Lepisosteus oculatus: one gene and its partner. Each later gene encodes a partner of the first gene's protein in a complex. Links are inferred from orthologs where the notes say so. Each region holds a gene or a part of one and is shown in the gene's direction. Other genes may lie near its edges. The genes, in order: phf20b and kansl3.

The links.
Region 2: phf20b (region 1) and kansl3 share a complex: the UniProt entries of both Homo sapiens proteins name them as parts of the NSL complex. The link is inferred for Lepisosteus oculatus from reciprocal best matches to the Homo sapiens genes PHF20 and KANSL3.

Annotation. Positions count from the first base shown.
Region 1 is NC_090711.1:7,197,294-7,213,094, reverse strand, and holds the start of phf20b (PHD finger protein 20b), read left to right. Parts: upstream 1-8,079; 5' UTR 8,080-8,165; intron 8,166-8,239; exon of another isoform or gene 8,240-8,383; intron 8,384-14,300; 5' UTR 14,301-14,317; coding exon 14,318-14,400; intron 14,401-14,557; coding exon 14,558-14,729; intron 14,730-15,368; coding exon 15,369-15,453; intron 15,454-15,801. UniProt on the Homo sapiens protein: Methyllysine-binding protein, component of the MOF histone acetyltransferase protein complex.
Region 2 is NC_090697.1:73,308,071-73,324,136, forward strand, and holds the start of kansl3 (KAT8 regulatory NSL complex subunit 3), read left to right. Parts: upstream 1-8,589; 5' UTR 8,590-8,857; intron 8,858-10,224; 5' UTR 10,225-10,285; coding exon 10,286-10,497; intron 10,498-11,258; coding exon 11,259-11,429; intron 11,430-12,277; coding exon 12,278-12,368; intron 12,369-13,359; coding exon 13,360-13,545; intron 13,546-14,543; coding exon 14,544-14,675; intron 14,676-15,268; coding exon 15,269-15,385; intron 15,386-16,066. UniProt on the Homo sapiens protein: Non-catalytic component of the NSL histone acetyltransferase complex, a multiprotein complex that mediates histone H4 acetylation at 'Lys-5'- and 'Lys-8' (H4K5ac and H4K8ac) at transcription start sites and promotes transcription initiation.

The DNA of each region.
Region 1 (15,801 bases):
TAGTTTGCTCTCATAGGACTGTAGAATTTTCCCCCTTTTCTTTTACCCTCTGATTGGTGTCTCACATTATGTTAATGTTTAACATTTTAATGTTGTAGAATGAAGGGAAATAGCCTCAACAGCTGGAAGTTGCTCAGACACAACATAAGCACAACGCATTCAATACACATAATTCCTGGAATTCATTTTTTACCTCAACATGTTCACGGCAGGTAAATCAAGATTCATTCATGTAAATACCGTCTGTGAATAGCAATGTCTTAATTACTGTAATTTGAAGTAATGAGGATAAAGATTATTATAGTTTCAGGTGTTAAAAATGCAGAGGAAGCTTTTCTTTTTTGCTGTTGGCTGCCTGTTGTGGAAAACAAACTGATAACCACTCTTCGATGTTTTGTTCATAACGTGTGCTAAGAAGTGAACTGTAATACTTTTAACTGTAATGCCTACAGTTGCCAAGCAACAGGTTGTCATCCCCTCCTCTCCTGCACTTAGCTTTTCATCATTTTTATTTGCTGCTGTTTTCTGTATTCAGATGCTGTTGGCTTTGTCGGTGTAAATGCCTCTGCCGTCCTCAGTACATTCAGTTTGTGTGAAGAGATACAAGTGAGAGACCGTGACAATGTCGGATGCTTTATTTTACCTAATTTCATAAATAAAAAATAAAGTTTGTAAATTTACACAATCTGTGGTGCAGGTTTGTTGTTGTTTTTTTCTGCAGCGTAATTTATGTATTGTGGTAGTATTGTCGGTTCTCAGAAACCAGATGTGTCAGCAGTCATCCAGCCGTCAAACACATGCCCCAGTGAAGAGTAAAAAACAGTTAACTTCTAAATTGGTTCTGTTACGCGGCAGGCTGAACACAAACAATGCACCACATTGAGAACAGACCCTTGCTTTCTGGGGCCATTCTGAAAACACATGCCTTAAGGCAAACGGGGGAAGAGTATTTAAACTCAAAGGCTGCTTGAGATATGTGGCGGATTGAAAATCACATCTGAGAGAGGTGCCTGTGATAATGCTTTGTGAATCCAGTTTTTTTTTCAGATGGGTGTTAACACTGAAGTTTGGGAATGGGGCTGTTAAAAGAGTATTGCAGGGCTTCTACCACGCTTAGTTACAGCAGTTCCTGCTTGTTTTGAAAAGTGAGCTCAAGTGAAGGTTTTGCCTTTTCTCATCTGCAAACAAACAGCTGGCAGAGAACTGTGGCCGTGCGTGTCAGTGATCTGAAGCCATTTCTGGTTTCAGTTTGTGTTTCATTCTTGAATTGCATAAGTCAAAACCATACGCTTTTTAAGTGATGAAGCTAAGTGTGTACATGACAGAAAGGAAGAGCTCTTCATTTTTTTAGTTTTACTAGATTATAATTCCATCTAATTCTGGTTGTATCTTCTCACCGTGTCTAATATGTGGTAATGTTTGAGGGTCTGAGAAGAAGTATATTGCATTATCATTTTGGGTGGCAAAAGATGCACACGCTTGTCAGCTGTGATAATTCCAAAGAAATCGACATGGACGCCACAAACACATAGCCCATTATCTTCCTTATGACAAGAAACTGAGATGCTGGTTTGAACGGAAAGTTTGCTTCAGTCTCTTTTAAAACTTTTCTTTTGCATCATCTCCTACCCAAATCACACATGGCATTACTACTGTCTGGCTTGTACTCACAACACGTTTGGGGAAAAACGACTCATGCCAGCTGACAAATTCGGAAATTCTGCTTATGCTGCAAACCATGGGATGGGGGAAATCTATATACACACTGCCAGCATTTTCATTTTCTAGTAAATGTAAATTGTTCTGCCTGCAGTGTGGCGAACAATAAATACTTGATATGGCTGCTGGTCAATCATGTGGTTTGCCACAAGGCAGCTTACACTGGAGAATTTTACTGCCCTTTTCCAGTTCGTAAGTAGCGGGCTGATTTTTTTCCAAATACCATTATTAAAATGCACAGACAAAGCACTCGCGCGCGGACATTGGAAGTTTGGAAAATACATTCCATGGAAGCATTCCTCCGTGGGTTTCCTAAAGAGTTTTTTGTACATGACGTAATTGAGTGATGGAAAGAATCATCTACAGGTGAGGGGGGTACAGCCGCCCCAAGTGGAGGAGATGAAGTACTCTTGTTCACAAGACAGGGCAGAGGGGATCACGGGATTGACCAGCGGATGGGTGTAGTGGCTGCAGGAGTGTGTTCTCTGTACCAAACCATGGTGTTGAAGCAAGAGCTGAGTTTTTGGACAAGGCTCTCTGTGTTCTCTCTCAATCCAATTCCCTACTCTCACCTGTGGTCACGAGCTTAGCGTAGTGACTGAAAGAATGGGATTGTGGGGACAGGCAGCAGAAACGAGGTTTCTCCGTGGGGTTGCTGGGCTTACTCTCTCAGCAGTCTGGGAGGAATGTGTATGTGAACATTTGTGTATGTGTTTGTACACACATGTGTATGTGTACATTTGTGTATGTGTTTGTGCACACATGTGTATGTGTACATTTGTGTGTGTTTATACACACGTGTGTATGTGTACATTTGTGTGTGTGTTTGTACACACGTGTGTATGTGTACATTTGTGTATGTATTTATACACGTGTGTATGTGTACATTTGCGGGATTGAGAGGAGCCAGTTGAGGTGGGCTGGTCATCTGCTGAGATTGTCACAAGGGCGTCTCCCACTGGAGGTGTACCGGGCACGGCCCACTGGAGACCCCGACTGAGGGGATTCTATGTCTAAGCTGGCCTGGGAGTTCCCCCGGAGGAGCTGGAGACTGTTGCTGGGGAAAGGGAAGTCTGGTCCACTCAGACTGCCTGTTACCATTGCGACCATCACCAGCGGTAAGCAGTTGGAAAATGATGATGATGATGAAGATGAACATAAGACAAGCTTCTGCAGGTACATTGGCCTACTGACAAAGCAGTTTAGGTCATCTTAGTGCACCACATTATCTCAACTCCCCGAACCTTACATAAAATATGAATATACAGTACAGTATATTGAACAGATTCATTTAAGACTGATAAGAGGGTGGGTTTGTGTTAGGGATGTAGTGACTAATATATTTTACTAACGCATACTAAAATCAATCACGAGAAAAAAAAAAACAACCCGCTATGGAAGGTAGCAGAAGAAACGAATTTAAAAAAATATAAATAAATTAAAGTGTGAAACAGATGCCAAATTTGTCAGTATATTATTAATGTCACCATGAGAAGTTACAAAACTCAATTCTCAGTAGTAAAGTCACTCTTTAATGATGTAACCATGACTAAAGATTTCACTCTGCAGACGAATAATGGATCCCTCATGCATTCGATTTTCTATGGCTCAGACAGTGGAGAGCACCAAGCCACTAAATCTAATCTGATTTTACCATTTGTGTTTTTCGGTAAAACAGTGTGGTTTGGACATTTGAATCTTGAAACCCACATTCATAAATCCAATGTATTTACTGCTTTTTTATTTATTTCGTAGTTGTCAACATACGTCTTTTCTAACGTGAAGTGCATTTAAAAGAAATATTTTGATAAGTTGACCCCAGACTTTGCAGCCTTTACTAATAAACACTTTCTTTTAGGGAGGAGTTAATATGTTAGTTTATTGGGTTAGGTGTTTTCTTTTAATTTATAACCATGTTCTCGAAAATGTATTGCTTCCAAATTTTCTAAATTACCGCTGGTACAACACGAGAGACAATATTCCCATTTTTGGGTATTAGTTTCAAGATCGATATAATTTAACAATAAAAAAAATTGAAAGCACGAGCATAGTAATATCATGATCATAGACTTTACATTTCTATTAATTTTTGAAGTACAAATCAGAAAGTGTTTCCCCTACCTTAAATATACGATTAAAATTGTTCAAATAAATATTCATTACAGAAAGCAGCGGAGACAGTTATATTGCAAATAGAAAATATATTTATTTCAAAGAGTACGGGACATTGTGAATTAATAAAGACGTTAACAAATAAGCCAATGTAGTTATTTTGCAAATAAGTAAAGCATTTTAAAAATAGATTCTCATTGACAGTAAACAAGCCGATCCAGCAGGCGCTACTAGCTTGAACAGCTCTCAGACCCGTGATTGGCTAAAACTCCCGAACAGTCCGGGCCGCGATTGGGTAAAGAGTGAGAATCGACACTCTGATTGGATAAAGTGCAACAGCGGAAGTTCCTAGAACATGTAGATACACAGGTGATGGATGTTCTTCGCCAAATACTGTAGCCCTGGTTAACCGTGTGTGCTGCATGAGTACGCTGGTTATAGAGTAACACATCCATTGGTTTCCAATTACTAATCAATCTAAGAGAAGTCGCACTGAGGTCAAAACTGAATAGCAGACAAAGAATGTCAAGGCATCCACAGCGCGTTCACGACTCCAATAGCATGTCACAATAGGAGTGCGCGCATCACGATCACATCCTGATACCCACTGCGACTGGCACATCACTGTCATGCCGCCACTTTCATTAAGTCCATATATCGCGATATCACCTACCCCCGACAAAACGCCCACCCCCATGGCGCGACACGGAGTCCACATATCGCGATATGACAAACGTCACCCGCACCAATGTCGCGAGATGAAGCCCTCATATCGCGATATGACATACCCGGCAAAAATGCCCCGCCCCCATATCGCGACATGAAGTCTATATATCGCGATATGAAAAAACCCGTCACGCCCATGTCGCGACATGAAGCCCGCATATCGCGATATGACCTACCGGGCAAAAAATGCCCCGCCCCCATGTCGCGACAGGAAGTCTATATATCGCGATATGAAAAAACTGTCACGCCCATGTCGCGACATGAAAGGCCCTATATCGCGATATGGCATGCCCAGCCAAAACGCCCACCCCCCATGTCGCGACATAGAGTCCATATATTGCGATATGAAAAACCTGTTATGCCCATGTCGTGACATAAAGCCCGAATATCGCGATATGACATACCCCCAACAAAATGCCCTGCCCCCATGTCGCGACATGAAGTCCATATGTTGCGATAGAACATAGCCATGGTCACGTGATCACCGATAAAAACAAGGCGCTATATATCGGGATCGAAAGCAGCAAACGTAGCACTAACGAATGAGACCGTTTTGGTTTCCCTACGACATTGTAGGGGAGCTCAATGACGTCACGACCCCGGAAATAAAAGGTTTTTATATCTCGGAAACGAAAGCAGCAGAGACGCTCCTTTCAACGGCACAAACTGGCACAAACGTAGCACTAACGAATGAGATGGGTTTCATCGTTTGTGCTTTCTGTGTGGGGGGGGCAACTTAACGGAGCTTTCCTAGACAGCTGGAATACTCCCGTTGTCTGAGCGCAGTATTGTGTGAATTAATCTGTTTCAATAGTTGTTTTATGGCTTGAAAATCAATTATGTGAAATTTGGTTATTCCGTAAATAGATTATGTAAGCGGTTTAACCAGACTTTATTCCGAATTGTTCATTTATTATTACTGCACATAGTTACGTTCAATGGTAGGGTTTCGAATAAAACAGGGATACTACCAAGTAAACAAAATGTTGAGACTGCCCTCTGCTGGGATAATTGGAGAGATGCAGAAGTTCTTTTCCACACAGTCTACTGTGCCAGAAATAATCGGGTACAGAAATCAATCGTAATTTGCTAAAACGATAAAGATAATATTTATAAAAAGTTCAAATATATAAGATATAAGACTGAAAAGTGTGGCAACACGTTTAATCATTTAACCTGTTGCAAACTTCACAATTGTTCATCTTTCGAAATATGCTCTCTATATCTTTAAAATTCTGAGGTTATTTTTATGTCTTGTCTGTTGGGTGTGTTAGAATACATTTTGACTTTCAGAAAACATTAGAAACTTTGCTATAAACCCCCTGTATAGTTTATCTTTGGAGTAGATTGAACACGCACTACCTACGTATGTCCTATTGGCATTAACTTCCTCGTTACTGCATGAGTACTGTAATTCAGTTTGTGAAAGTTTAGTTTTTGACATTATGATTCAAGTAAGTAATACAAAACAGCTCCTTCTTATTCTAGAGTAATAACTTCAGCTCATCTCCAAAAGTGGATGGTATGAATAACCTGTAAGTACTATATACATACATTTCACTTTATTATTATATATGCCTCGAGTTTGGTACGTACGGTTTCTGAGTAGAGATGAACACATCTATTTTATCAATAGCGGCTACTAAAATAATGTTCTAATTACTGATAAACTAAAACCACGGTTCAATCTAAATAAATTAAACGTTTTTATTAATACAGAATGGGAGCATGACCTTTCTCTGCTCAAATAGTTCAGTAACTGAAGGATATTTCTCACTCTACCACCTCCTCTCTCACCGTTCAAGGGGAGGAAAAATGTCAGTATAATCTCATTATAATCGTGTCAGCGTGTCAGAGTTGAGCAGGTAATTCTTGGCTGTAGCGAGGAAGAAATTATGCACACTTAATTTAAGATACGTAATAATAATAATTGCTTACACTTATATAGCGCTTTTCTGGACACTCCACTCAAAGCGCTTTACAGGTAATGGGGATCCCCTCCACCACCACCAATGTGCAGAATCCACCTGGATGATGCGACGGCAGCCATAGTGCGCCAGAACGCTCACCACACATCAGCTATCAGTGGAGAGGAGAGCAGAGTAATGAAGCCAATTCATAGTGGGGGATTATTAGGAGGCCATGATAGATAAGGGCCAATGGAAAATTTGGCCAGGACGCCGGGGTTACACCCCTACTTTTTTCCGAGAGATGCCCTGGGATTTTTAATGACCACAGAGAGTCAGGACCTCGGTTTTATGTCAAACCCGAGGGACGGCGCCTGTTTACAGTATAGTGTCCCCGTCACTATACTGGGGCATTAGGACCCACATGTACCGCACGGTGAGCGTCCCCTGCTGGCCCCACTAACACCTCTTCCAGCAGCAACCTTAGTTTTTCCCATCCAGGTACTGACCTGGCTCACACATGCTTAGCTTCAGTGGGCTGCCAGTTGTGAGTGGCTATAATAATTAAGAAATCATGCCAAAATAAATAAAATAAAAAAAGATTACAAATGGACTCAAGCCTTGTGAGAAAAAAACGGCTTATATTAACAAGAACAAAACGTTATATTATGTCTCAAATATCGTGAAGGAACCAATCCAGACAACGTATAAAAATGATTTGTTGCTTAGAATAACTCTAAAGGTATGAGTAACTTTAAAGGTACGAGAGAGGAGGACAAGCATATATGCTACCCATATAATGCGTGTCAGTGAAAAAGTTCTCACGCTATTTCACCTAGGTCACTTTTTACTTCTTTCCCTTAAGCTACATAACATTTTCGTAGTTTTAATTAACCGCATATTTAATAAACTATCGCATTTCATATTACAAAGCGAAATGCGATTACTAGTAAAATATCAGTACTTCTGTGTAATATGAAATGCGAGTTTATTTAGCTTTACCGTTCAGCATTAGTCAATCAAGACCCGTCAAATTAGAAGCCAAATCAACTTAATAATTATCGTTGAAGGCTGCATCGCTTTTAAAGAATTAAGCGCATAAATGCAGGTCAATTCAGTGTAAGCGTAGCCAGGACATCGCTTTAGTGATTTTAAGTGATCTTACACTCGATCGCTGGCGGTAAAACATTTCCATTTAATTTTAGTATGCCCCCCTCTTCCTGGACAGTCTCGCTGAGAAACCCCGGTACCCCCCAAAACCTTAGCCCTGTCAAAGGAAGACCGGATAGAAGCATTTTACCCCGACCAAAACGTGAATATTTTCTTATCCGGGGGAGAACACAAGCTCTCTTTCCATTCGGACGCGCGGCCGAGCGGACGTTAATAAATATTTTTCATGTAACCGTGCACGTATATGTTTCGTGCACGAAATAAACGAACAAAGAGAAGGGAAATTGGGAATAAAACTCGTCACCATTTTAAAGGAACATTCTACACTTCTTGAATCAGAAAGAGCGCCTGGCGCGCCGGCGCAAGCGCAGAAGGCCAGCAGTCGGAGTCTCTCTCTCCGCTCACACACACGCAGGGAAAATAAACTGCGTGGGCAGCCGACACCGAGAGGGTGGCAGTGCGCTAGAGTCTGGGAAGGAGTAGCTAACTGTACATGCATCATCAGCGGGGGATCACGTAAGAAAATACAAGGTAAAGACCGTTCCCACGTCGTAGCGGGGCTAGGGACGACGTTTTGCGTGCGACTCAGCCTTCATCATTGTTTATTTGCCATGTGAAGTGTTTGTGATGCCATGCATCAGGAGGGGGAAAAAAATAAAGTTGCCGCATGTGTCTCCTCGAGAGTGATGCTATCCTCACACTTTGGAGAAAACAGAAAGATTTTGTCCCGTGAAGGGCAGGTTTGGGGGGTATGTAAGGAGTGGCTTTCGCGATGGTTTGTTTTGCAGAGCCGAAGCGTTGATGTAATTTTTTCCCGATGATTCGGGGGGGAAGGTTTTTTTTTTTTCCTCCTGTTTTCTGGGAAGTTAGTCCCCTTCTCAGTTCGTGTAGTAATTACGGCAGACTGATGTGTGCAGGCCGGAGAGGCCCCGGCAAAGTCGGCCGAACGATTGACAAGCGGCTCGTCCAATCAGGCGCCTCGAATCCGCTGCTGTCAGAGCCGGCAGCCAGTAAGCTTCTCTGAAATCGGCAAACGGGCGGAGAGTATCGGCAATGTGGGGTTTTACTTTTCCGTCTTTAAAACACCGAAATCCTGAAAATACTTTGTGTTTCTAAGAGCAACGTCCACCTTGTGCTTAGCGAGGACATGCTTTAGCACGTCCCGCTGGCTTCTCTGTGGAGTCGGAGGTGATATTTTTTTCGTGGTTGGATCCACGTTTTTGTGCACGCAGGAAACAAAACCCAGGCGGTGCTTGCAATAAAACGGTTAATCCAGTATCTTGGGTTGATCCATAAAACAGATCTTGCGGCGCCAGCGGAAGTCTCCCGACTTCGCAAACCGGACGGCACCCCGGTTTTAGAGGGGGGTTCACTCGTCCAGGAGCCCGCGGTAGTGGCATAAACAACGGGCGAGAAACGTATTGCGCGCCATTTGCGTCACTCCGCTCCCGACTTGTGCTCGGCAGCTGCAGTGATTGTCCTCCGGCTCCGCAACTTGAAATGCGAGGCTCCGGGTCAGGGCTCGGTGACACACAGCCTGCCCCACCGTCTTACAACGGCGATTTGCATTAGGGCCGAGGAACACCTCCGGTTTGCAAGCCTGGGGTCACACGTGTGCTCCTGCTTCACATGGCGCATATTGTTCTTTCCTCGGCAGTAGCTTCCCGAGAGGTTGCATCTTCAAGCCGGCAGAGAAGTGAACGCAGCGTCTTGTGTAGCTTCTTTGAAAACCTGGAGCTGACGACCAGTGCCCCCTCCTTTTCTGATTCCCAAATAATACTTTAAAATACAAAAAAAAATAGTATCTCAAAGAGTTACTTTTATTCAGGCTTTTCTACACTGAATATATCAAACGTTCTATGTGTAGCAACAAAACTAACTGCAATGCGATTTTTACGTTTATTGGCTATATTACAATATCAGTATAAAAAGCTAATAATTATTAAAACGAGTAGACAGTTGGAAAGTACACGTGACTGGATGCTCAGATTCTTACTTTAATAATACGGGAGCTGTGCCTTTAACACAGCTACATTTGTCAAACCTGTAGTTTTTAATAGTTGGCTGATAAGGTTGGTTGATAAGTTGAAGGGTTGCACTATCGTTGCTATACTATTGAAGTAATTACTAGTTTTCGACAGTGTTTCTCTTTAATGTTACGTAATGAAAAAGATGAGCAGAAGGTTCCAGATGGGATTGCAGGCTGTCTTGGACTCAAACGGTGTTAAAAATAAGGGAACTTCCCGTGTGGGTTGGTTCGTTCTTCAGTCGATTCACTCCCCTGAGCTGAAATGAAAATGCAAAGCTTTCGTTTTTAGGAAGTTGCCTGCCACCTGCTGTTATTAGATAGGAAGCTCCCCCCCTTTTCCTAAAAGGCAAAGGATAGATGCAGGATATTCTTTTAATGTTAATGTTTCTTTATTAGCCCTATACAATTTCTTGCATTAGGAATTCGTCTTTTCGCATACCCCAGCTTTTCTCCATGGAGACACAGACACACAGACAGGGAGAGAAGCTTGGGGTCAGAGTACAGGATCAGCCATTGTACGGCGCCCCTGGAGCAGTTAGGGTTAAGGGCCTTGCTCAGGGGTGCAGTAGGATTCCTCTGCCGGCTGCGGGATTTGAACCGGCAACCTTCCAGTCACAGGCACAGATCCTTAGCCACAGAGCCACCTCTCCGCCCAATTCATGCCACTGTCGAGGGCGTGTGCATGAGTTTTTTTCAGGTCCAGGACTCCGACTGCTGTTAATTAACAGCAAAGGACGTTTGGAATTGCAGAATCCAATGAAGGATGCAGTGGAATCCATTACTTGTTTATCCGATGCACTTATCCAGTACAGGGTTGTGAGGATGGGGAGGTGAGCTGGAGCCTAGCCCAGCAAGTGAAAGGAGCAAGGCAGGATACACCCTGGGTGGGATGCTTGTCCATCACAGGGCAGATACACATACTCACAACAGGGCCAGTTTTCACAGCGGCCAGTTCACCTACTCGCCGAAATGTAGTGTTTCTTACCTTTCAGCATGGAATGAACTTTCACCTGTTCCTGCATGCTGAATCGGCTCCCTGCTAGAACCCCTTCAAAGTAGAATTGAGCAAAAACCCCTGCTTCCTTCAGCACTGTGTCCCTAATCACCTTTCTGAGATATTGGTTCTTGGTAATTCCTGTTTATAGTGAAGAGTGCCACCTACTGGTCCACAGACAGCTTGCAGTAGCAACCTGGCTTTCCTTGGAGGTCTCCCATCCCAGTACTGACCAAGCCCAGCCTTGCTTAGCTTCCGACATGCAGAACGTCAATCAGTCACCTATAAATTAATCAGGAGACCTTTGAAGGAACTAGTGACGGAAAATAAGCGGCACCACATGAAATTACAGCAATGTAATGAAATAGCGGGTGAGCCCAGGAGAACTTCTGCAGGGTGGTGGAGGAAGAAGGACCGAGACCTGAGCAGAGAAAGACGTCTGCTGCTAGCAGAGCCAAAGAGATGCCACAGGGGGACTGAACAGAGGAGTGGTTATACAGCAGAGCTCTTCAGTCCTCCCCAGCTTCTGGTTCATTGCTTCATTGGTTTAGCCATGCACAGGATGATCAATCAAGCCTTCATAAATTTAAGTTACAGTTTCAACCCTTTATTGTAACTCTTCCTTGTTGCCAGTTCAAAGTGTTTGTCATGTGGTGCATTACGAAGGTGTTGCTTAACATTCCCTGAACTTGTCTGTAAACTTATTTTGGGAGCTTTTTTTCCTTCAGTAAAGCATAAGAACAGTTACAAACAAAAGTAAGTGCCATTCAACACAACTAGGCCTTATGGCCGTTAGTAGCTAAAAGATTTGTTGTATTCTGAAATAGGCCAGGATATTGGCTTCAAGAACATGGGGGGGTATTTCACACTCATTGTGTACAGAAGCACCTCCTGTTCTCATTTCTGTTTACCTCATTTTCATGCTCTTCAAGCAGTAGAGTTCAGACAGCTGAAAAAGAGGAGTTTTTTAAAATAATTTTAATGTTTAATCAACCAGTATGTGTTAATTATGATCATAACAAGAATCTTGCCTCATGCAGTAATGTAGAGTTTGTCATTGTGAATTGACTCTGAAATGACTTCAGGATATAATCAGGAACACCTCTTTACAGCTGCTTATATCAGTAGAGGCTGGTTCCCTTGAGGCCACAGGCCACGCCCACTGAAAACCTGGAAACACAACATAGTGCCCTCTGAGTGAGTCGAAGGAAAAGGCGACACCTTTGTTTTTTCGTGGGAAGTTTGTATAGATATAATCAGTTGCTGATATCACTGGTATAAAAGCCAGGAAAGCAGAATGTGTGTAAAAATGAGTCAGTGACTTCTGTCCTGATTAAACACTCATATTCTTAGCCCTGTGCTGCTTTCCTGTCTGAGCACAAACAACTCTTTAAGGTTGATAACAGGGTGGAGACTTGCTGCAGCATGCATTCCAGGTGGCTTCTTGTTCTGCAGTGTTCCCACGTGGAAAATCCCAAGATATTTCCTACATAATTAGCCATGTCTTCCTTCCCAATAACTGTGCGTGTGTTTGGGTGAAACCCCCACTCTATCCAAAAGGGTTGAGGATCGTATAGAATTAAGGCATGTGTAGTTGTCGTGTTGTAATTTAGACACAATAAAACAACACCGCTACTGAAGACTGTATACTAAACAAATTTATTATGATGACTGTGAATGCTGGAAACTGTATTTGCAATTAGGAGAATAATTTGAAATATTTGCCTAGCCATGTGGGAGGACTGAGCCCGATGTGTGTAGTTATACTGTCTTAGTACTCTATTTCTCATACCACACATAATTTATCTCTATACGCACTATATCTTTATTTTTCTGCATTTTAAATACGAGAAGACATTTATTCACATTCTAATGTCATTTCTGCATTACAGCAGTATACTGTTGAAGTGGTCAAGAGGATTTTGATGTTCAATCTTAAAACTGTTTAAAGTTGTCCTTGAGTGTTATTTTCCTTTAACAGTGCTCTGTTAAAGCTGTTAATATCTGCATCACAGCCACAACAGTGAAAGTGGACTTGAGAGTTGACTCTAAGGGTTTCTTCCTTTAAAGAGTCCCTGCAGACACTGCATCCTGTCATTCCGTAGCTCACACTCATGGGTTTAGGATGTTTTCCTCCTTATCAAAAATATTGCTGTTTGATTATGTCGACTTATTCCAAAGCAATTTCGGCTGGAGTATTTGCTATTGAGATGTAGACATTTTTGCACAGGTGAACCCCTACATTTTAACCCATCACGCAATGAAATAGGCCTAGACCCTCAATCTAAAGGCGCTGAAGTCCTTTCGAAGGGCCTTCGAGATTCGCTAGCTTCGGTTTTCTGCAGCGTCGACAGAAGAGCTTAACGTTCTGTGGTAGACATCTTGGATCCCTGATGCCTCTCAATCTTCGTCACCTTGTTGATCTTTAATTACTGCTTCTTGGCCTGTCGGCTGCCTTCTGCCTGCTTTCTTCCCACTGCATAATTGCAGAGGTGGTGTCACAGTGATGTCTAATTAAAATAGCAGGGGAGACAGGACTCTGCTGTAGGGAGTGAAGAGACAGGTCCAAGGCACGCAGTGGGAGTGTGGCAGTTTCACAAACTGAAAGCTGACTTTCACCCTGTGTGGCTGCACACGTTAGTGCTTTGTGTACTCAAGACCTGGTGCTTATGACAGTTCCACAGTGTTTGTATTTTTCCTTTACATCGGTTCAGCAATTATAACTGTCAAGCATTATATGTATAGTCAAGGACAATACCTCTCACACTTTCCTCTGATCATTACCCAATTTCCATTGTTTCTGGACAAAAAAATTATAAAATTTACTTTATATGTCATTTTTAATGGTTGCCCAAAATGTCAACGGTTTATTACAGTATATACATTTTCCAGGATGTTTCTTTTGTGCTATCTTCTGGTATGTGTAATGGTTTTTAATCTATTATTTCATGTAAAACATGGTTCTGAAGGATAGTTATCAACAGAATAGTCAAACAGTAGGCTCCTCTTGGCACAGCATGTTACTCCGTACAAGCGGTAAATAACATTAAGTTGCCAGTCATACTTTTACTTTTATATTAAAAATTCAATAGAAAAATATGAGCACAAGCTTAACAGTAATAACTGAGATCATCAACATCCAAAAGGCATTCACAGAAATTCTGTTAATTTTTTATTGTTTTTAAAAACTTAGAATTACATTACTTAGGATTTACAGACAGTGTTAAAGCTGCTAACATAAAAGCTTAAAACGTTGTAAAAAATGAATTTAGCATCTAATTAATTATTGCTCAAATTGACGTGTTAAACGAAGTAACCATGGGCTCAGATAGAATACAAACCAGGAGGGGACTGGGAGGGAGAGGCTGGGATTTGAAATACTCTCTTCAAACAGGGTGGTCTCATCCCAGGTCTTCTGTGTCTGCAGGTTTGTATACACACTCACCTCTTAATGACACAAAGCAGCACATTATTGGTGAAAGGGCACCAGTGTGCCAGCTTATTGCAGATCTTCAGGTGTTGGTGCTTTACAGAGACCTAGAAAGCTGGCAGGCACAGTGTCCCAGGCCTGGACCAACCTGCTGCTGTTTAATCCCTGCTGTGTTCTCTGTCTGATTCTCCCTTCCCTTGGCTTGCCCTGCAGTTTTGAATGTCAACAGAATGAGCAAGACACCACCAAACAGGAGGGGAATTAAGTTTGAGGTGGGAGCTCAGTTAGAGGCTCGGGACAGCCTGAAGAACTGGTGAGTTTCTCCTTTTCTCCCCCCCCCCCCCAAGTTGTTCTGAGATTTATTTCCTTTTTTCCTTTATTTGTTTTAAAAACTTTTTACACGCTAAAACTGGACTGGCGTGCGGTGGATGTCGGTGACCGACTAAAGCGCGTTTTGCCGGCTCGTGCAGGTATGCGGCGAACATCGAGAAGATCGACTACGAGGACGAGAAGGTGCTGATTCACTACAGACAGTGGAGTCACCGCTACGACGAATGGTTTGACTGGGCCAGCCCTTACCTGCGGCCCGTGGAGAGAGTCCAGCTGAGGAAGGAAGGCCTACAGGAGGACGAAGGCGTACCTGTAAGTGTGTCTCCAGAGGAGTCCCTGCGCCTCATCATGGCTGCCTCGCAGCGCCTAGATCCCTGGATTCGAAAGCAAAACCTCTCCTAAACGTCTCTTCTGCTCTGCCGTTAAGAGCAGCCATCTTCAAAAAATGTCTGCATCAGGCCCTGCGTGAAGGGAGAGGGCAGCTGGTGCTGTTTGAGACCTGCTCTCTCTTTTACAAGAACCTGCAAAAGGTCACAGACGTGAGGTAGCTATTTGGCCCATCGTCCTCGTTTCATTCCTAGGAGCGTAGTGATGAAAGAATCTACCCCTGTCTGTGAGAATTTCACAGACTCCGCTCCAAACACTTGAGAGTTCCCTCCAAACTCCCATAATCGTCTGTCTCTTGTTTTCCTGTCTTAAGTGTGCCTACACTTCATTTCCACTTGTGTTCCTGATCCCTGTGTCTCTGCTGACCTAGTTATTCCGGCCCGAATGAAGCTGGTTACTCTCCTCTGTACTGCCTCTGAATCAGCAGTATCTTTCTTGTAGCGCGGTCACCAAACTTGACACAGTGTTCCCCGTGAGAACTAACCTAACGCATCCTTATAAGGCCCACGGTTTGCCTTGAATTGTGAAATAAACTTGTTTTTATCTTCTGTCCCACGTCTGCAGGGTTTCCGGGTGAACGAAAAGGTTCTGGCAAGTTGGTCTGACTGTCGGTTCTACCCTGCCAAGGTTTTGGCTGTCAATAAAGATGGTAGGTGACTCCTGGGAAGAAGTGTGGGTTAGTCGGCACTGATTAACACCAAGAGCTACTGAACACTGTAGGGAGAGGACAGCAGAGCACAGACAGCTTTTTCCTGTTTTACCTTCCTTTAGAAAATGAAGCACATTTCTGAATTCTAACTTCTAACACTGACCCTTCTGAGGTACGAAATGATGTCAAGTTAGTATGAACATTTCTGGGGTGTCGCAAACACATGTTATATGTGCGTGTATAAGAGAAAATCCCTGCTCCAGGATGGCCACTGGGAAACATTCTCACTTATGAGAACAGCACACAGATGTAGCACAAGGCTGTATGATGTTTGTTGGCTTTAAGGTG
Region 2 (16,066 bases), on another chromosome or scaffold:
CGCTTGCCTCTTTTACACTACACATGGCAAGTAAGCGAAAGGCTTGCAGACCACTCAATAAATCACAGCCCTTGTCTTGTGCAACTTGAATGTGGTATTTCCAAGCATAAGACATTTTACATTTTCTTAATCATTACAAAGGAAGAGCATAAAATTGTAGAATATTAATGCTAAAAGGGCAAAGGAGTGGGCATTAAGAAATAATGCTCAATTGATGATGTGTACAGTATATATTTGCTTGATGCAAAGCTTCTATTGCTTTAAGGATCTGACATAAGTGCTCATCATGCCAATAGTGTATTGTATTTTTGTATAAAGGGAATATTTAAATTCTTGTAATGCTTTAAATATTTTCTACTAGGATGCTAACCATTTAAGTCTGGTGATGTCTTCTAATTACTAAATCAGACCTTGTTTTTTTTATCTGCAAGAATCCTCCCCAGCTTGTCCTGCCTGAAACATCAGCTGAAGTATTGTGTTATGTTAGGATAGTTAGAGTAAAAGCACGCATGCACAATTCAGTAGCTGCAAATTCCTCTTCTAATTCTGATGAGTAACAGAAGATTGTGAAAAGAAATTTGTTTGCCATGTGGCACATCATGCACCATTACCATCATGTTAGCAACAACTTCAAATCTGCTCCATCACAACGTAATGGCAGCATATTTTGCGGTTTTATTTAGAGGACGTTGAGGCTTAGAACATGAATGCACTTCAGTTATAAGGCTGTATTCAAAAGGTAAAGTCTAGTTTTCCTTCCATTCTTTAGTGTTGTATTATGAAGTGCACTGTTGTTAAGGATGGGTTAGGTAGGTGGCTGTGTCAGCACGCTGGCTTTGAAAAGACACTACGATTCATTTCACATTGTGAGTCTGGAAGGGAAATAGGTTAGCAGGTGATTGATTTTCAGCTCTGCTGTTATTAGCTTAGACTGTCATGCTGTACTGCTTAGTTTAGAGAAGAACAGCAGGACTAATCCTGGGGCTAAAGAGGAATGAACTATGAGGACAGGCTGAAACCTCCATATAGCTCAGCAGCAAGATTGGGTTAGAGAGATCTAATCTGAAAGAGATACTGCAGTTGCTCCACATTTTACTTCCAGAAGGGTTTGGGGAATGGGAGAGTCATTAATGGAGTTTCACTTAAGCACATTGTTTAAGCATTTGGCTGGTTTGTTCACAGTTGCATAGAGAATGCAAGGACAGAAGGGGCTTGCCTGTGTCTTATAGAGCCAAGAAAGGTTTAGGACATGGAAAATCTAGTTTTCTGTTTTCTTTTAAATTTAACACTGCCAAATATTTTGGTTTTATGCCCAGAATTTGGAGGTAAGCAATTCTCACACCAGCCTTTGAGAGCCTGTCCTCTTAGACCTGTGTTGTGTTGTCATACCATCCATTTCTTTTCACACTTCTGTTGTAAATCACATACTGAAGAGCTGTCATGTTGTGTGAAGAATGTGTAGTTTTTCTGTCACTGGTATCCCCAGACAGGGGTTCCTGGTTAATGGCAGTGGTTCTACCAAGTCTCACCCTGCCCTGCCCTGCCCTGGCAGTACCCCACCAGCTGTGTGCCATTCTTATTTGCCTTTATCCCTGTGCCTGTCTGTCATTATCTTGTTAATTAGATTTGGTTAGGGGGTGATGGGGTTATTTGCCTATAGACAAGTTAAAATGATTGGACGTTGTGCGGGTTGTAAATTCATAACATCCTTACAGACTTCACGAGAATGAATTATTTGATTAAATTCTTGTTTTAATCAATAAATAAAGATATGAAATTCTCCCTTGGAGAAAGAATCTGCGTTTGTATAAAATACAAATACAGATGTGCAGTAACAAAAAAGCACAGAAAAAATATTAAAAGTGTGGGATTTTTATAACAAATGCACCCTTTTTTGTCTTCAAAATTAGTATAGAGCGCATAGCTTCTTAATTTCTTATCATCTTTATACAAATGCAGGTAATCCCTCCATAAATTGTGATAAAACATGTTTTCTGTGGTTGGTTTGCCTGTATTAGAACTTCTTGCATTTCAGTAGCACCAGCTAGATTAAAATAACCTCCACTGCATAATTAAGCACAGTGTCAAAACCTAGGCTGTTGTGCCCTCTAGCGACAAAGACACAGATTTCAGTTTTTATACTTGTATTTAAAGATTTTTTTTGTACTTTGTTTTTTAATGATTATACTGTCCAGCGACCTTTCCTTAAACCAAGAACCTCCACTCAGGTCACAGAGAGATGCATAGTATTCTGTTTTTTTTTTCTTCCAGCCCAGCTTTCAATTACTGTACCATTTCTATGTCCATTATCAGAATGCCATTTAATACTGGTGTCACAGCAACCTATGAGCATTAGGCTCAAGGTAGAGGTCCAGCCAAATGCAGTAGGTTACTGTATTTCATTGCAATAAATGTTTTTTCAATTACCCGTTTGATTACTCAAGATTAAAGAGAGCTTTAGCCAATTATTTTAGATGCTTAAAAGCAATGAAGGGCTGAGGCTCCACAGGAGTGTAGTTGGAGACTGTTGCCTTAAAGGTTGCTGTCAGGTATACCCGTTAGCTCTTGTGTAGACTTATTTTACAATATTTCACACAGCTGATGTTAGAACTGTGTGTTCAGATGCTGACCTGATAGAGTCAGTTGTAGGAATCCCATTCTTTGTGTGTGTAGGTGGCAGTATTGTGGTTAAAGTGCACTTAAAATTGTGAAATTATTTGTATTTTAGACTAGTAATTCTTTAATTGGTTAACAACTTAATTTGTATATTATTTGTATTTTAAGGCAGTAATTATGTTTTGATGACATTTAATTACTCCTTTATCTTTGCGTTCATTGGGCTGGAGATAATGGAGCCTTGTTGTAACCCAGAAATTGTTACTTATATAAGGATCTTCCGGTTTAAATTTCAACCATGCTTTCCAGGTATAGCAGTTAGTGATTTATCGGCCCTAATTAAACATGATTAATATTAACTTTAGCCTCTGATTCATATAAAGCTTTGAAGGACTGGGGCTCTCGAGGATCCTGATTGAAAATCACCATTAAACGTTTACTGCATTTGTTCATACACAGCGAACGAAAAGGAGACGTTTAAGTTGAGAAGCAAGTCTGAAATTCTCACTCTGTAGCAGATTTTAAAATGGATAGAACTCATCCGACCAACTTGCATAGAAAATAAATCTGTTTTTCATTATGGACTCAGTCCAGAGAAGCAGTTTGTAGTGTTAAAGGCCTTTGTTTTCCATCGTGGGCAAAATGCTCTTCCCAGCTGTCAATGAACTGTGGTCAGTTTGCCACCAATGGAAACAAACACACTTTGTTTTTCATTTAAACTGTGATTAAAGGAGTATAGTCTTGCTTTTTTTATTCTGCGGGGTGTCCTGATCACATACACAGTTAGGGCAGGAAATAAATTTGACAATCCTGTCAGAAATGAAGTGTGTTCGCACTTAGCGAAACCCCTCATTCCTGTTTGGTTTGTGGATACTGTGAGCTGTTGCTCAAAATCCCGAAACTACCAAACACGTGTGTGTGTGTGGTGTTATATAGACAGATCATTGAAAACAGCCCACAAAACCAGTTTGGAGACGGTAAAATTCTAAGGAAAGTAATATAATTCAAGCAGAAGCGTATCTGTTAATTAGACTACTGCAATCCTAAAGAGTCATAGTCTGGCACCTTACAAAAGTGCTGGGTTGGACCAGTTGAGACAATAATTAGCTCACAGGTCTGGAGATAGACAACACTACACTGGATGAGTTTTGAGGCAGTGTTGCCTCTTTGCCTCTTACAACTGATATGTTATTGCTATCCAGGAAGGTGTATACCGAAACGTTTTTTGGATCAGGTAGATTTTGATCGTTGCTCATTGTGGAACCTAAGGATCTGAGTTAAAAACCCACTGCCACATTAATTATTGTGCAGTTGGTCTGTTTTTCCGAGATAAACGCAAAAGCATGTAAGGTATTTAAAGTTTAATGCATACACTGCAATTAGGAAATTAAGAAGCTGTCAAGAGGTATGATTAGTAAAGGTAAAGCGAAGAAAGCTTTTTAGTTAAAGCAAACAATAGAACTGGCTTTAACATTTACCGTCTTTCTAATTTTATACATTTTATAGTACACGTTCTGCAGATGCATGGCTGTTTGAAGTTTTGGTCCATTGTCCTGAGTAGTAAAACTGGTTTGAAAATATGACACTAATAATAAAATGATAAAATACCCATGTTTTGAAAATATTAGGCAAAGCCAAAATGTCACCTGAACTAGATTTCCATGGCAGGAACTGGAAGGGAAATGTATTTTTAATCATTATATAAAATTTAGTTTTATATTTAGGGTGAGTGCTTGTAATTTCTTGATTGCACTTTGTATATGTGTGTATGCTGTTGTGCAGCTATAGGCCAGAGACCATATGTCAAATAGCACTTCGGAGCAATATGGATGGCCACTTTGACAAATCACCAAGTTTTCAGGTCTGCAGTGGCCCAACATTTAAAAATGCCTATAAAACCTACGGGACTGCAGTATGTGAGCAGACTTGTGCAGTACTGAAATGCAAGAGATCTCTCTTCAGACCTTTGAGACATACCAAGCAGGCCAGGTGAAAACTGGTGTGGATACCTTAATATTGAGGTTTTTAATATTCTGTGTCGATATTACGAGATGGAAGAATGTTAATGAGGGTTTTGTTTTTGTGATATATACAGATATATATGTATTTTTAACTTATTTCTACTAATGATTTGGTAGGAGGCCTCTTGTCAAGTGACAGAAAAAAGCCATGCAGGGTGATACGTATTCATTTGAGGAAAAATGTGTCCTCAGTATTCAGATTCCTCCTTGGTATGAGATATTTCTGCCTTGCTTGTCATATTTGCTCAACTAAATGTTTCATGTTTATGATTCAGTTATTTTTAAACTGGATGCCACTGATTCAGAACAAACTGAAATATAGAAAATATTTTTCAAGGATTAAAGCCTTTTTATTGTTTCAAAGAATTTTTTCATCTATTTGTGTTACAGGACTGAGTCAAATAACCCAGGTGCATTTTCTCATCGAGTTTTGTAAGCTTTCTCTCCCCTGTTTAGAAACATTTGGCTCCGATTTAACTCCACTGCAGTGTTGTCATTTACTTTGATGCTGCCTAAGCACCTGTGTTTTACCAAAGTCACGCAGCATATTGCAATTTCACACTTCCTTGGTTTGTCAAGTGGAAGATGTTAAAATGTCAAACTGCATTGCGTTCTAATTCTGCTCTTTATTTTATAGTGTATAGGTGGGCAACAGTATAAAAAAAAGATCACAATGATTTTTTGTTTTTATTTTATCAGTAAACAAATTGAGAACTTTTACAAAGAGCCATGCTTATGATAATACCTGCAAGTCAAGACAACATCAATGGAACAGAAAGTGTTCTATGTCATTAGCTTGGGCTTTGATAGCTGATGCTTTGGGGGGCTTTGTCAGATGAAGTCTGTACACTATTATAGACCTTCTATGAGGTATTGTGCTGGCAATGTTGTGCTTAAATCTTAATTCAGGTTGTGTATTCCCACCAGAATACAATTTGTCTGTGTTGTTGCATCTTTAGCAACAACTTACTGTTCAGTGAAGTTTAAAATACCTTGTATGTGCTCATCTCTTTCTCAATCTCCTGCACTTTATCATTCCTGTAACCAACCATGGTAACACTCTCTAGACGAGCTCTCTTTCCCAGAGTACCCTTGGCAAATTTGTATCTTGCTTTATATATTTTTTTTATTTCTAGTAATTTAGCATGGTGATGAATGCTTTCAATAACTTGAAAACCAGGATTGTCAGTTGTTTCGTCTTTATTATTGTATGAAAATTAATTTCTAAAACAATACTGTAATGAAATTGAAATGTATGCCTTGTAATGGGTGCTATGAATGTTTTGGTTCTCACTTGTGTACTTTTGGTTCTTCATCATGGGATGTATTTTCCACTAATTGGTTTCTGTCTATTGTTGTCTCAATTCTGTTGATAAATGATACCATGTACTGAGCTAAAACAAACTTTGTTAAACTGTCTTTTTATTTGGCATACATTTAACATTACTTACGATTAAATTTTTCATTCATTTTAAATGACAATTTCCTAGTTCTTGCTTGCATCTACAGTATATCATACCCCGTCTTTAAACTTGTTTCTCACCTGATAAACCTCTGATGATTTCAGCTCCTTCCTTTGTGCTCTGTAGTTGTTAATGAAAAATGTTTCACATTCATTGGCTGAATTCACGAATTGATATTTATTCCATTAATGCAGTGCTTTACAGAATCACTCCCAGCTTACATTTAAAGAGCATAAACTAGCGCTTTCAGACTGGGTTACAAATCATCAAAATAATTAGTGATCCTAATTTAAAAATGTTAAAAAAAAACTTGAGAAAGTGCCAAAGGAGGAGGCAGTTTTGAGGAGTCAAGGGGAGGTACTTCATGCAGTGTGAGTTGTGGGTGGATGCAGCATGTTCCCAAGCCATGTTGAAGCAGCTGATTCACTGGGTTGCTCCAAAACTTGTCCAGCTCCTTCTACCTCCTGATAGTTATTAAAAAACACCTCAGCCCTCACTGTAAAGCATACAAATTCATGCTTACAGAAAACCAGTGGAATTTAATATTTGCATATAGCTATAAGATGTATTTCATTTAATCTGATTTTAAATGGGAATTTGATTATTTTTCCTCAATGTGTACATAAAAAGCCAACACTATTGCCTTGCTCAGTTTGTACACAGAGATACAGGGAATATTACAGGTACTACAAATACTTTCTCACAAACACTTGCTAACAGTTTGATGCCTACTGTCCTTCATTTTCAAACCCTACAGTACCATGCTGTGATCCAGTGTGCACTGAGTGCCCGCAGAGGAAGGAGCTCCTCTGGCCACGGTATGGTCGGAGCATGAGGAGGAACACTGGCTATCGCCTCCTCAACTAGATTTAAGCAAGCACTGTGCTGGAGAAAGATCCCATAGTTGAGCCTACAGGAGAATGGAGAGTGGTCATCACCACCTCGCAGGCCCAAGCTTGAAGAGCAGGTGGATGAGGGCAAGACGTCTGTGTCTCTACGGCCCATGTCTGAGCTACAGGACAGGATCATGAGAGGTCACTGCTGCCCTGGCCGGAGCCTCAAGAGTGTGAGGCAGCCGCTGTGCCAAAAGAAAGGGGGCACTCGTGTAGACACCTGCTGGCTCAGGAGGGGGAGGTAGTTTGAGAGCGGTAGATGATGCCACATTTCACACAGCCGCCAGAAGGAGAACGCCAGGGGGGGGTGCACCCAGTTCGCACTGCCTGCTGCCCCCACGTCTCTGCATCTGTCACGGCTTCGGACTGGCAAAACCTGCTCTTCCGTCGGCTTCCCCGGTGAGGAGCAGGACGTCGGGCAGGGTGGCAGGAGGAGGGAAGAGGGATCTTGTCTCAGCTACATCTCCCAAGTGCCCCTGTGGGGAGAGCAGTCTTCCTCCCTCACCTGGCAGGTCCGGAGATGCAGGCTGGGTTCGGCCACAATATAAACCAATAGAGGAAGCCTGCCTTCAGGGAGCAGGGAGCAGGTCCTGGGCTGTACAAACCGCTTAAGGGAAAAATGGGCGCCAGAGAGAAACAACCGCAGGACTGAAAGAGTTTTAACAGCATTTTGGGAATGTGATTTGTTTAAAGCTGGTAAGCAGCTTAGTTGTCCACTGAGTTATTGAGGAATTGAAGGCATTTTCTGGTTATCCGTAATGCTCAGTGCATAAAGTAAAAAATGGCGAACGACGTCTATTCTACTTATTTTTTTGTTTTGCATGACACTCACGTTCGATTTCTGCACTACCGCCGGTATTGATTTATCCCTTTATTTTCACTTCCACTTATATTAAGGCAGGGATATAAATCGGCTATAAATCCAGCCTAGTGGGGCCCTCTAGTGGTCAGGCAGTAGAAATGCCTGTGCCATGCTGGACGGTGATGCGCAGATCGGACAATTCTCAAACGTCCAGCAGAATCCCGTTGTGGAAAGATAGTTTTTGCTGTTAAAGTGCTGTGGAAAAATATAGAACGCTTAGAAATACACTAAGTATACCAACACAACTTGCCTTAAAGGTAAAAGGTTTAGAAGAAATTAAAAATAAATGTATAAATGTTACATTTTCTCGAATGCGATAAAGGTAATTGTCTTAATTTTCTCATTATAATAATATTGCTTTTCACAAGAGAGTAATCTGGTATATGACTGTCCACAATTCCAGTACATACAGTTTTCAGCACATAAGACAGATACCATGATGACAATATAATTTAACATACTATGTCGTGCAAGTCGCGTTGTTTGTGAATATATGTCTAGAATCATGTTTTACCTTGGTATTTTGTAAAATGTGACTTTTCTTCTAAAGTTTACATCGAAAGCTTTGGAATAACTTGCTACCTTAGTGTTTATTAAAATGTAAGTTTCATTTCTTTGCTATCGTTCCCTGCAAGAGGAACGGAGGGTAGGCGGGTCTTGTAAAAACACGGGAATCCATTTCGTATATTCCAAGTCTCCCGGCAGCAGGGTCGCATCCTGACTCCGGATCGCCTGAGAAAATCTGTGCCGTATTTTCAAGCAGGCCCTCCAGTGTAGTGGCGCGGTTGAAATACGAGGAGAAGAAAGGCCCTTAACAAAAACAGAAAGCAGTCATTAAAAGCAACGGAATGCGAATAAACACATTTCAAAAACGCATTTAAACAGTGTACAAACGAGTTTACACATCTGTTCTGGACGCTGGGGTCACGTTTTGGGATTACACTTCTTTTACGGTTTCTTGACACAATGACGTGAGCTCATCTTCTGGGATGCCGCCAGAAAGTAAGTGTTTTTATAGTATAACGATAAACTCTCCTACGCATTGTTTTCACCAGCTTTGCCCTCACAAGGACGTCAATAACCATGCTTTGTGATATCTGGACAGTTCTTTTATAGAAATGAATCTTTTCAGTACCTAGGCCGGCAGTCCTCGGGTTTTCTTAAAAAGAGCACAGGACCTGAGCGTACCCTGCCTCGGCTTGAACAACGTCTCGGAGCCGGGGTCTTTTTTTATTTGCCTGTCGAGTCTATTTTCTTGCCTGTTACAGTAACAACAACAAAAACAGCAACACGCCCGGTGGCTGATTTACTAGCCTTGACAGTGTCCTTCTTCGTAGTTTAGGGAACGTTCAGGTGTTAAAATATAAACTGTAAATGTAAGTTGTATATTGTATTGTTGCCTTTGTATCCAGTAGTGTGAAGGAAAGTTTAACCCTCACTGTATTAAATATACAGTCTTTGTCATTTAATGCAGCACTGCCCGACCTTTTACAAATGCCCCTACCCCCAAAAAAGTCTACTTAATGACCGAGTTTAAATTGGAGATTCCAATCACAATTTAATTTTCACTTTCAGAACATGTGCTTTTCTATTGTACCGACATCAAGGACCCAGCAATTTGACTTACAATTTTTGACTTACAATAGTAAATAAATCGTGATTGAAAACATCATCGTGCGTTAGCATTTTAATGGTGCAGTAAAATAAATCCAGGCAAATCTGGGGATGGATATTCCCATCAAATCAATTCCTTTCGTCAGAGATTCATTATGCCCATTTGCTCTTACCATAACTGTTGCTGGCGCAATATTCATGGTCAGTAAAGATTAAACTCTCAGAAGTGTCCCAACAGGTCAACCGTGGACTCACCATCGAGATTTCAAATCAATTATTTTGGTCCACTCGTTATTAAGAGGGCGTCATTGTTAAGGGCCAGGGGGAAATTTGGCCAGGACACCACGGTTAACACCCCTACTCTCTTCAAGAAACGCCCTGGGATTTTTTACTATCCTTGCAGAGTCGGGACCTCAGATTTATGTCTCATCCGGAGGACGGTGCCCTTTTTAACAGAATAGTGGCCCCCTCACTATTCTGGGGCATTAGGACCCACACAGACCGCAGGGTGAGCGCCCCCTGCTGGCCCCACTAACACCTCTTCCAGCAGCAGCCTCAGCTTTCCCAGGAGTCTCCCATCCAGGTACTGACCAGGCTCCCACCTGCTGAGCTTCAGTGGCCTGCCACCAGTGGTGAGTTGCGGGGAGATGTAGCTCTTTGGAGAGCAGGTCAGGTCTGCGCAAGGTAGAGGTTGCAGGTGGGCAGCTGAGGCCGGCGAGGGCAGCGTGTGACCGTGTTGTGCCCCGTGTCCCTAGCCCAGCCTTGTGTCCGGAGTGCCCCCTCCCGCTGAGAGCGTGCGCCAGCTGCCCGAGAACAATGTACCGCGGCGGGGAGCGGGACTTCCAGACCTCCGCGCGGCGGATGGGCACCTCCTTGCTCTTCCAGCTGTCTGTCCACGAGCGGGAGCTGGACCTGGTCTTCCTCGACCACAGCTACGCTAAGCCCTGGAGTGCCCACCCGGACGCCAGCAGTGCCCGCCCTACCCGCATGCTTTTTGTCACGCCTCGGCGCCAGCAGGACACCACCGTGTGAGTAGACGCTGCACCGCAGTGGAAACCCCCCCTGCAGTATTACAGCTTCTCCTGGCGGTATACAAAGTAGACAGCCTTCATTTAAATGACATGTATAATCACTGTTGTAAGACCAGCTTTAAGACCAGCTTTTAGACTGCCCTGTCTCCTGTGCAATTGGTTTGTATGTTAATTGTGTTTCACAGTGTGGCAATTACAGGACATGAAATATGTACCCCATGTTGTGTGCAGACTGGCAAGATTCAGGCTTTATTAGTTGCATTGAAACAATCCAGCATGCTCACAAGTTGAAGTTATTCAGATCTTGATTTTGAGTGCGTCTGTACTCTTTTCACACTCCTGTGATTTCTTTGGTTGTGATTTGCTAGAACGGGGGTGGATTTGCATTGCCCTACTGTTCTAAAATTACATTATTTTCCCAATTAAAATAACTTGTTAGCATGTCACAGCGCCAGTGTTCCTGCATACGTACTTGCTTATGTGAGTTTTTTCAGTTTAAGTTGCAGCACCAAGCTGATGTGAGTGATAACTTTACATCAGCAGAATTTCCTAGAAAAACTTTTAATTACACTCCTTCTGCTGCTACAGTTGACGAAAAGTGGTGAGCTCAGCTAATTTGGAACAATTGGTTGCAAGGTGTTACAAAGCGTGTCTTTGAGTTTTGTGCCACATTGCCATCAAGTCACGCCAGGGGTTGGGGGAGCGTTATTAGAGGAAGCATGAGCAGCGCAGGACGTGCGTTATGAATGTGGTTGCAGAGAGACGGACATGCCCATCGATGTGGAGACGGTGACGCCCACGCCGATGCCCCTGTATGACAACCAGAAGGCGCGGAGTGTGATGAACGAGTGCGAGCGCCACGTGCTCTTCGCCAGGACCGACGCTGATGCCCCTCCGCCACCGGACGACTGGGAGGAGCACCTCAACAAGTAAGAGCCTTCAAGCTCCTCGTGCAGCAAGCTGAAGGGTGGAGGACAGTGAGCACCCGGGCTCTGCTTCACGTGCAGGCCTAAACTAATCGCAGTTTCCGACACCTGCCGAATGTAAATCAAAGTCGTACTGGGATCGACAAGAAAGAGCTGGGAAGTTCTCCCTTGGCAAGAGGAGGGAAAGGTTGGGTCTACATTGTTTTAGAGCTGTAGCCCTCATCAGGTTCAATACACGAGTGCTAGCCTACAGAGCTTGCAAGAGGACAGCTCCCATCTCTCCCGACTCTTGTCAGGCCCTGTGTTCCTGCTAGGACTGAGATCTGGTTTTTCAGGCTGGCTGGCAATGCCAGTACTGAGGTGTAGCGAGTCCCAGGCCTGCTTGTTCTCTGTGCTGGTCCTCCAGTAGTGGAACTACCCATCTGCGGCAGTCAGAAACATGGACTCACTCTCCATCTTCTTGAATTTCCCAGAAGAAACTGAAAATTAATCTGTTCAGGGTATACCTAACCTCACAAGCCGTGTCTAACCCTCACTAACTCTTGTGACTCTTTGCTCGTGTGTTGCTACTTCCAGTCTATCAGGCTGCACTGTTCAGCATTCTAGCAATGCACTTATTGTTTTGTGCTACTGTTGTATGCACCTGTTGCATCTTGAGTGGATGTGATTGTAAGTCACTTTGGATAATAGCATCTGCCATTTGAAAAATGTACATGTTTTGTACAGTTTTTCTTGATTGCATATTCACGTTTTTGTAGGTTTGATACTTGTTCTCTGTGTGGAAGTGAAGAAAAGTAATTTAGTGTGTCTGGCAGTGGTTGTTATTAATCACCCATCCCACTGTGTTCCAGGACAGGCTGGTCCATGTCTCAGAACAAGCTGTTCAACAAGGTTCTGAAGGCTCTGCAAGCTGAGAGACAGGCTCGTCTGGCCAATGAGGGGGTGAGATCTCGAAAAATTGGGCTGGGAGTGGGCGCATGCACTCTGGAACCTGGATTGACATTTCTTTCCAGATTTGCAAGGCTTTTTATTAAGAGTGACATTTATCACTCTTTTTTTCCTCCGTCTCACAATAGGTGTCAGATAGTGAACTTTGGGTTATATAGTCTCTCAGGAGCTTTCTATTACATGATACAGCAGTAATACAGTAACGTCAGTAATTCAGAGCTTTTGAAGAAGGCTCCACGGCCAAAACTTTGTGTTTTCTTTCTTCTCTTTTCAGCATGGAATAAACCTATTACTTGTTCCATTATATTGATTCACAGTTTTCATTTTGAGATTTATTGTAATGCTTTCTCCTTTGAGGCAGAGTTTTGTAATATGCAAAAATAAATTTGCTCTTTTATTTTTTTGCTTTAGACAAGTTTTTAACAGAACTAAAATACTTATCCTCATTCATAAGGTGGTGAGAATGTAATATGCACACCTTGAACCGACTTGAGTACATCTGAGCAATTCTCTCAGTTCCTGTCTCAAACTAGTTTTAAGTAGTTAGTATTGCAGAATGTTCAAAAATCTTTTTCTAAAACTTTACACTGGTACAAACATAACTTTCTGTTTATAAATTGTATATAGAGCTGGTGAGGATTTGAGACAGATGTTTAGTGTGTTGCCCTACGTTTTAATAGAAAAAAGTGGCATATTTGAAATCTCAGTAATCTGAAAATAACTAGAAATAAGACGCATTTACTTTTTTATGTGTATTGTTTGGATTGTAAAATTTGTGAAATCATGGATAAGAAATAGCTGACATGTATAAAAGCCGTAAGAGAATACAATAACCGTTTGAACGTCTTCATGTGAATGCTCGAACACCAAAAAGATCGATGATATATTGGAGCAATTGGAAGGACTCGGGAACATGATTAATTGTCTGCTATGGAAGTGACATTCCCAGCCTTGCTATTCCCTGTGTCCCCTCTCTTCTCCTCAGGCGTGTAACGAGCCAGTTCTGCGGCGCATCGCTGTGGACAAGTGTGCCAGGAAGGTGCGCCATGCTCTGGCTAGCATCAGCTGGGACACCAAGCTCACCCAGTGGCTCCACACTACTCTGGTGGAGTCTCTCAGTCTGCCAATGTTGGCCGCCTACCTGGACGTGCTGCAGACCCTGAAGAGCAAGGTGAGCTAGTGGCACTGACTTCAATCCTGAGAAAATCTGGGATATTACTATGTTACTATGTCAGCCACTGGATAATTTTCGGCGCCTTGAAAATAAATGGTTCCTAATCATTATTTCATACAATTGCCTGCTATATTTTTAAGGACCATATGATATATTTTCTGGTCTCGTATGGAATTATTAAAGAGTTACAAGACTTTTTAAATTGCATCAAATGGAAGATTCCCTTCAGTTTTGTTCACTGTAAATATTAGTCAGATTTTACTAATTGGGGATTGAAGGTTTGTAAGACCCCGTCACGTATTGTACAGTCACGACTTTGCCCTAGCTTCCTAGCTGGCACTTTCCTCCACAAGGATGAGACAGACTTCTATGAAATCTGTGAATTTCACTAGAGAGAATGTTGTATAATAATAATTTGTTACACTTATATGGCGCTTTTCTGGACATTCCACTCTTAAGTGCTTTACAGGTAATGGGGACTCCCCTCCACCACCACCGATGTGCAGCCCCACCTCGATGATGCTCCAGTACTCTCCCCACACACCAGCTATCAGTGGGGAGGAGAGCAGAGTGTTGAAGCCAGTACATAGATGGGGATTATTAGGAGGCCATGATTGGTGAGGGCCAATGGGATATTTGGTCACCAGGGTAACACCACTACTCTTTTTGAGAAGAGCCCTGGGATTTTTAATGACCACAGAAAGTCAGGACCTCAATTTTCTGTCTAATCTGAAGGATGGTGCCTTTTTACAGTTTAGTGTCCCCATTACTATACTGGGACATTAGGACCCACACAAACCTCAGAGTGAGCACCCTCTATGGGCCCCACTCTCACCTCTTCCAGTAGCAACCTTAGCTTTCCCAGGAGGTCTCCCATCAGGTACTGACCAGGCTCACACCTGCCGAGCTTCAGTGGGCTGCCAGTTGTGAGTTGCAGGGTGATGGAGCTGCAGGCATTAAAAGGCTAGGATCCACCTCTCTGTGTCCATTTGTAGGTCCCCACATTAATCGACCGGATGCTGTTATCTTCCTCGGTGAAGACCGGTGCCACAGGGGCGGAGGCGCTGTCCCTGCTGCTCAAGAGACCCTGGGACCCAGCAGTGGGCGTCCTGTCCCATAACAAACCGGTATGCTCCTCTCCCAGCTTCAGGGTGACCCATACTGAACTGTATTCAAGAAACATAAAGATGGTCTGCTCTACTGTCTCTAGGGGTTTCAGCTTGCTTAACTGATAACCATGTTCTGAAATTTTTTTTTATTTGGTTGACCCTGAATAGTTGTTACTGTACCTAAAATTACTTGAGAACAAACTAGCGTGCAAAATATGGTTCCTGCTGATGCTGAGTCCCTTGGCTGTGTACGTTTTAACTTAGAACAAAAGTTCATGAACCTTGCCAACCTGTCGGCTCTAGCTGCTATGAAAAGAGCTTTGACATTGTTGCCGTGAACACCACAAAGAATTTCTATCATGTCATTCAACTTCAGCGTCTTCACTAGCAAAACTGATCAGTTGTTGCACAAGTCATGTAACACTGGAGTGCCTATATAGAAAAGCAGACATCTTTAAAGTTTTTGATTGTGACATGTTTTCAACGTCTTGCGTTGTCAGTTTAGCTTTAGCTTTTGATTAGAGCCATTCTTTCTGATGTTTGAGTGTATGAGTTACTGCTGAAGCTTCAAAGCATTTCTTAAGTTTTGTTTTCATTGACGATATTTTCAGAGTAAGCTTCCTGGTTCGCCCCTCATCTTGATTACGCCCTCAGGGCCCACCAGTCCCGTCTTCACCACTTCGCGACGCCTCCGCTTCTGGCAGTCCCAGCTCTCCTGCCTGGGGAAGGTCAGTTGGGTTCTGCTCCCTTCGGCACATGCAGCAGACTCTGGGTTTTCTCCAAGAACTTTTTTCAATGTCACAGCTGGGTTACAATAGAGATAGATAGATAATACTTTATTAATCCCGTAGGGAAATTGGTGATAGTCTAAGGCTGCCAGAAAAATTAGCCAGCTCCTTGCATGAAATGACTGAAACGGGAAAACTCTTTTAGTATTGTATGAGTCATCCTTCATGATGTATCAGGAAAATAAAGAAATTCTTTTGTTCATGCAGTTTTTGCGTTATTTGAACAATGGGAAGTAAATTGAATGGATTTTCCTAGTATGGTCTATAACCACTCCTGCTGGAAAGCCTTTATTATGAACCAGATATTGATTTTGTGGATTTTATAATGCTGTTGGGTATTTTTTTATTCTGAGCCTTCGAAATATTTGTCATAGACATCTGAGAAACCTCTTGTATATAATTGTAGGAGTGCCTCATTACTTAATCATTCTGCTGGACAGACTCTTCTTTGTCCAAGTCAGCTAAAGTGTGCAGTGACTGAAAACTGAATTAGAATTTCACATGAGGTTTTAAAGTGGGTTATAAAAATAACAGCCTTAGAAATGTATTTAACTTTAGGCTTATAATCCCATATTTGGCCATTTTCAATGCAAGTATCATATGTACTCTCCTGGTATTCAT